2 linked regions of the Bombyx mori genome follow. The protein of the gene in region 1 binds, or shares a complex with, the protein of each later gene. Links are inferred from orthologs where the notes say so. Each region holds a gene or a part of one and is shown on either strand. Other genes may lie near its edges.

What was found. The genes of interacting proteins can lie anywhere in the genome.
Region 2: protein Red (region 1) and zinc finger matrin-type protein 2 share a complex: the UniProt entries of both Homo sapiens proteins name them as parts of the spliceosome B complex. The link is inferred for Bombyx mori from reciprocal best matches to the Homo sapiens genes IK and ZMAT2.

Annotation. Positions count from the first base shown.
Region 1 is NC_085122.1:6,714,048-6,718,247, reverse strand, and holds the start of protein Red, read right to left. Parts: upstream 2,801-4,200; 5' UTR 1-2,800. Other genes in the region: Mif (macrophage migration inhibitory factor), read right to left, coding at 3,064-3,142. UniProt on the Homo sapiens protein: Involved in pre-mRNA splicing as a component of the spliceosome. Auxiliary spliceosomal protein that regulates selection of alternative splice sites in a small set of target pre-mRNA species. Required for normal mitotic cell cycle progression.
Region 2 is NC_085128.1:9,738,011-9,741,112, reverse strand, and holds zinc finger matrin-type protein 2, read left to right. Parts: upstream 1-1,190; 5' UTR 1,191-1,393; coding exon 1,394-1,508; intron 1,509-1,595; coding exon 1,596-1,837; intron 1,838-2,288; coding exon 2,289-2,528; 3' UTR 2,529-2,579; downstream 2,580-3,102. UniProt on the Homo sapiens protein: Involved in pre-mRNA splicing as a component of the spliceosome.

The DNA of each region.
Region 1 (4,200 bases):
TGAATTGATTTTTATGAAATCAATTTGTTTTAGTTGTGTTGCTCTTAATCTAGAATATGATTACAAATTACGAATTCAAGTAATAGTAGTATTCAAACAGTAGAAAAACTGCAGAAAATACAACTACAGCTTCCTGAGCAGTTGTTTTTGTTGAGTTTATATCAAAATTATCACTATAAATGCATTTATAAAATCTATGACAGCCGCACATATGTAATTAAGTACGAACTAGCTTTTTTTTAAATATTTTATGACCTGGTAACTAAGACCTTTAAGTTCTGTCTTATTTTATTTATATTTTTATGAAAAATGATAATATGGAGTGAAATGAAATGAAATGAAGATGATTAATTTGAGACATTAATCAACTGGGATGAAATTAAATGAAATGAGACAGTATGATATGGGATGAAATATAATCTTAGTAAAATGGTGCTTATTTACTGAGACTTTTCAGTGGACTTTTTGGAGGATCCCGAGAAGCTATGTCCAGCAGTTTTGTCTAATTTTCCCACATTTGTACACTTGCACAGATACTAAACAGTTAATATCGTTTTTACACATCGTTATTACACATTTAAGCCTGAAGAAACACTAAATAGACAAATTAAAACAATTCACACAACTTCACTCTGTACGTATGTACATGTTGCATGAGGCCTCATAAAATTTATGCCAATAATGATATGCCCTAATAAGATTTACTTGAGCTTGAGTTCCTTGGGCTCCTCTTTTTTAATTCTTAGTTCATATATAATACGGTTATCCACGAGATTCCATCCACATATAAAAGCAGTCCACGACCGTGCCGCGTTTATTCTCGGCAGACTCTACCCCATGATCTGTAAGCGGAGTAAAATGTCCTTTCGGAACCAGGTGACTCTGTGTAGTCCTTGTAAGGATCCATTAGATACCTCGCAATAACCCTCGCATAAGACGCCTTTCGCTCTAACACTAGGAGTAGAGACCCCGGTAACCGTGCAATCTAACATAAGCATCAGCCCGTTGAGTATCTCGCCGGATCTTCTCAGCGGGTCGCGATTCCGATCCGGTAGTAGATTCATTCGCGAAGCAGCTACTGTTGAGTTGCTAGGTCTCCCTTGAAGGCGCTCGGGTAGCTGTTAGCAAATCCCGCCTCTTCTGGCTCGCCCACCTGTCCTTGTGAAACTGGAAAGGCCTCCGGGCCACTAGTAAACCCTCAATCATAAAAAAAGAAGATAATACGGTTTAGTTGGTGAACTATCTCAGGGCCCACCTAGAATAAAGTTGCCAGCTTAAACAAAAACCAATGTAAGTGCCACTATTCAGCTTGAAACATGAGGTCAGTTTGAATGGTGTAGTGCCCGTCTCGAAGCAGTATTCTACGACTGCTTTGCAACCGAATTAAGCATGATGGTTAGTATCTATCGATTTGGACTTAATAAGATACCCTACTACACTTAATAAATGTGAGTTGGCGGTCACAATTGTTCATATTCCACTGTTTTGTTCCAAAAATACAGGTTTCCGATTATTTTTATTTATGATCCATCTTATCACTAAAGTTAAAAAGAATACAGTGGAAGTTGAACTCTGTGGCTATGAGTGTCCGTGAAATATAATATAGCGTTACCGTAGCAAACTTTTAAAGAAAATGCAAAAAAGACTGCTTTGCTTTACATTGAGAAATACATTTACAAAATTAAATTAAGATTTAATATAGAATTTTGACGCATCACTACTTTCTTCCATCTACATAGGAATAATATTTTTATTCGTCAGCTCTATTAAAGTTGACTTAAAATTTTACTCTAGTTTTTTGGAATAACTAATTACCCGTAGTCTTGGCTTTTTTAGTTTTTAGTTTTTTAGTTTAGGGCTTTTTTAGTTTCGCCGGGTGTGTAGGCTTCAGAGACTTTTATAACATCTGTGTGCTCAATGCGAGTTTTTTTAAGTTCTGGAGTTAGAACAGTTTCCCTTGGTTTGCCGCTAGGGGCGCTGTTCCAATTCGTACAAATTTGAGTTAACTTTTACGTGATAGAGAAGTTAAAAAACTCGCACTAAACACACTGCGCTAAAAAGAACAGTGCCTTTCTGAAGCTAACATCTGATCGGAATCGCGACCGTCTAAGATCCAGTGCGAAAATCAGTCGGTTGTGGACATACGTTAGTTATGTTGCACGTCGAACGGTGAATGGTCCTTGGAATGCCTAAAAGCACCGATAATGGATCGGGAGGATCCGTAATGACGTGTTTAGGGCGACGCGGCGACGTCGACCGTTTACCATTCGGTCCACAGGGCCGGGTATGTAATTTCCGGCGGCCACAACAAGAGGGTTTTCTTGTCGTACCGCCTTCTCAAAGGGATGATACGATATGATGCATACATAGTATACGTAATTATGGTAAACGCGTAACTATAATACACACCCATTCATAACATGTGTATCTTAGGGTGTAATAATAGTTTACACAATTAAAATCATAATAGGTAATCTACTTTTTATGGTGGTAGGACCTATTGTGAGTCCGCGCGGGTGGGTACCACCACCTTGCCTATTTCTCCCGTGAAGCAGTAATGCGTTTCGGTTTGAAGGGTGGTGCAGCCGTTGTAACTATACTTGAGACCTTAGAACTTTTATCTCAAGGTGGGTGGCGCATTTACGTTGTAGATGTCTATGGGCTCCAGTAACCACTTAACATCAGGTGGGCTGTGAGCTCGTCCACCGATCTAAGCAATAAAAATAAAATAAAAAATAGAGTCGTTTAGTGCGGTAGGGCCCTAAAATTCCTTGGGCCCGCGGTCTGCTCCCAACACCTTGCAGGTCGTCAAGTCTCACATACCCCGCGCGCCTCCTAGGCGCGGGCACCTCGTAGGAGGTTCGGCCAGGCCCGAAAAAAAAACGGCTTCGGTTAGTCACAGACTAATCTAAGGCCAAGGATACATACAATAACTATTTCAAACATCAATAAGAATACTCTAAAGACAATTTTAATATGATTTTAAGCATTTTATAGATTATTATGGAAGCACATCATTTCTCGCTATTTATCCTATGGTTTGGATATTGTTTTTTATAATGTTTATCCAAAGATCGCGTGGAAAGTCGTTCCTTTAAATCCAACGTTGCCGGTAGGTTCGTCTTGGAAGGTTATGTACATGCTGTAAAAAATATAATTTTTGATTAATTCAAAAAAGATAATGAAAGGAATAATCGTACAATACAAATGCGTTTAATTAGATTCTGTTATGCGGATTCAGGTCCAAGAACTCCGACATGACAAACATGACAAACATGACATACATAAGTACATGTATGTATACATATATGTTTTCGCCACTAAGGAGCCAAAAAGGATGAGCTAACTACAGATCTTATTATTACCACGCATAAAAATAATAGATTAAAAACTGTATAGTAGCAAATCATTTTTTTAAAAAGTGACTAGGAAAAAGCATTTTAACGAAAAAATGCGTGGGATAGTAGACGTCAATTATTGTAAATATGTTATTTTAATGAAATATTGGTAGTACTGATAGTGGTCACTATAAAATCTTAAATCTAAAAACCACCTCACGATTTTTTTTTGTCTTTAACTATGGTCATTTCATAGCAAGGAACAATCGCCGTTTTAGTGCACCATATGTGAAAACAGGTTATTAGGTCGATCTATGATTATTTCATAATCCGATCGGTTCCAGAGAAGGAACCTGAGAAACGGCTATCATAAATCCAAGAGAAGCAGCAGCCGCGTACGCGCCTCTGTACTTGGCACAAGACACTACCGTGTTTTAACCGTCCGTACAGTCTTTAAGCCTAAAAATCTCAATCAAGTTACTAATCGGACAATTTTATTAAATTATTTCATTGTTATCGGTTGTTGAGACTATATAGGTCTATGGTCGTTGATAGGTGTGCGAAGTTTCAAGTCAATCCGACATTTATAAAGTGGGATTTCATTCAAAGAATCTGTTACATACAATGCCAAGCTAATAAAAGATTGTTAAAAATAATTGTAAATAGACATACTTTAACAAAAACCGACTACAAATAGAAAAAAATAATATTCCAAAACAAATTAGGTATGTATTATACACACTAAAAACAATAATCATCGAAATGGGTTGGCGTGATATTGAGTTATTCATCTATTTGTCGCGCACGTACATAAGGCAAATTTAAGACTTATATGGTTTTCTTATGGATACCATTATCAGAA
Region 2 (3,102 bases), on another chromosome or scaffold:
AAAAGTTTACTACAAAAAAGGTAAAAATGCAACGTAGGCCGCGAAAAAAAATTGCGATGTTTATGGACCTAGTGCTGTGTCTGTGAAAGTAGCACAAAATTGGTTTAAGCGTTTTCAATACGAAATTTTTATTTTAAGAATTTGTACGTCGCTCTAATCGAATCTTTTTGAAAAAGTGAAAGTGACTGATCGCATCTTTTTGAAAAAGTAAAGCAAGATCGGCATATCAGTAGTTACGACGTAGCTGAAGAACTGGGAATTGACTACAAAACAGCTTTGGCTCATTTGAAAAAAAATAGATACACAAAAAAGTTCGATATTTGGGTACCTCACGAGCTCACTGAAAGAAACCTAATGAACCGTGTACTCATTTGTGATTCTTTATTACGACGTAATGAAACCGAACCATGTTTGAAGAAGCTGATAACTGGTGATGAAAAGTGGATCACGCACGACAAGAACGTACGAAAAAAGTCGTGGTCAAAGGTCCGTCAGGCTTCACAGACTGTGGCAAAACCTGGGTTAACTTGCAACAAGGTGATGCTGTTTGTGTAGTGGAATTGGAAGGACATTATTCATTATGAGCTGTTACCACCAGGCAAGACCATTGATTCTGAACTCTACTGCGAACAACTGATGAGATTAAAGGAAGAAGTTGAGAGAAAGTGGCCAGAATTAATCAACAGAAGGAGTGTGGCTTTTCATCATGATAACAATGTGACCTTACACATCTTTAGCCATTCAGCAAAAATTAAGAGAGCTTGACTGGAAGATGTTAATGCATCCGCTGTTTATCCGTATATCCGTCCTGACCTTGCACCTTCAGGTTTCCACCTGTTTCGGTTCTTCAGAATTCTTTAGGCAGTGTCAGATTAACATCACGAGAGGACTGCCAAAACCAATTGTCTCGGTATTTTGATCAGAAGCCCCAAATTTTTTATAGCAATGGGATCATGTCCCTATTTACAAAATGGCAAAAAGCTATCGAACAAAATGATACCTACATACTTAAGTTAAATGTAAATAAACTATTAAAAAAATTTGTTAATTTTCTTAAAAAATGCGAAGAAACTTTTTCCCCAACCTATTATATTAATTTTCATGTAACTGAATATATAAAAGATTAGGCTGTATAATATATATATGCTTTCGCCTTTCTTGTTAGAAAATGGAAATACTACAACTAATCATTTGTCAGTTTTGTCACTGCTAGTTGTCAATTAGAAACATTTCGTTTGTGTTGTTAAGGATGATTTTCTCGTGTTATTTTTTTAATAGATCTAATTGATTACTCTTCCCTCTGGGTACACGTTTAATATAAAACAAACAAGTGGAGTGTGTAAGAAAATCATAACTTGTAATTGTTGTGAAATAAATACTATAAAATTTAAACATGAGTATGCGCCCCGATGACCACCGAAGAAAATGGGACAAAGAGGAATTCGAGAAAATTGCAGCCGAGCGTTTGAAAGCAGAGCTAGAAGAAGAAGAAAAATCCAAGAAGAAAGGTAAAATATTTGTGTCAACACACTTTGTTACGTTAAAATACAAATTTGACACAATATATAAATGTTTGTTTAATTTTCATTTTCCAGCCACTCCAGTCAAACGTGAACTTCTCAAACAACGTGAATATAAAGTAGATTTGGACTCGAGACTCGGGAAGAGTGTAGTAATCAATAAGAATACGCCAACGTCCCAATCTGGAGGATATTATTGTAATGTTTGTGACTGTGTTGTTAAAGATTCAATAAATTTCCTTGATCACATCAATGGTAAAAAACATCAGAGGAATCTGGGAATGTCCATGAAAATAGAAAGGAGCAGCTTAGATCAGGTGAGCTTACTTTTTCACATGTATGTATATGCATAGTACCAAGCAGGTAAATAGGATTGTTGACTTGCTACTAGATTTATGGTCTGAGATCATCAATTGGCCACTGTTGCATCAAAATAATAACAAACATCATGAACCAACGCTATTATTTTTGTGATTGCCTGAGTTGAGCAAACCTACCATCCCACTCAACTAGAGCACTCAATATTAAAATAATTCTCAACAAATTCTTTCAATCTTAATTTTATCAAGTTCTAATGCTATTGTTAAGGAATAATAAATGTAAAATGTTCAACCAAATAGATGATTTAAATTTCTAGACCACTAATTTGAAATAATCTATCTAACTCATCTAGCTGTTCTCAATTTTATAAATACCATTCAGGTTTTAATAATATTTATTCTATTCTATCATAGCTACTACTACTACATTATATTTGTTTGGTTCCAGGTAAAAGCAAGATTTGCACTCAATAAACGAAAGTTGGAAGAGAAAAAGCGTGAATATGAATTAGACACAAGATTAAAGGAAGCCGCTGAAGAAGAAGCTCGTGTGAAAGAGCTACGTAGGGAGAGACGTCGGGACAAGAAACGGAAGTTAATGGAGAATGATGAAATAGATGATACACCAGCACCTTCTGAATTAGCACAAATTATGGGGTTTTCTGGCTTTGGAGGATCTAAAAAATGATATGTTTTAAAATGTAAAGCTTATATTAATAAATACTGTGTGGTACAATAATGTTTCATTGAATGTTTTAATTATTATTTGGCTAATAATTCTATTTGCCCTGACCTTGTTTTATCAAGGTATAATTATGAACTTTGATTTAGCAGACAGGATAATATTACCATATTTATTTGGAAAAGGCTAGAAAAAACGACACCATGTAAATGTAACATGTTCCAAATGCTTTTTCCAATTAAAAAATATAAATTATAAGGCTACAATGTCCACTACCGGACTTGGTATGAGGGCATGTTTTTCATGTGCTAGATGAAAGCTTTTCACTGACTCCAGTAGTCCTGTATATGTCAAAACTCACATCAACTTTAGTTTTTGGGATTTGGGATTTTGGGATATGTAAATCGCACGTGACTACTTTGACTGACTGACTTTTCGAGGACAATAAACAATTCAACAACAAAATCAGTTGGCTGGGCGTTAAAAGAGCGCTCATCTCTCTACTCTAAGTCGTTTCTGTTGAGTCTGGGCTAAGATAACGATCTCGCCCAAATCTATAAATTAAAATAAGACATGACTT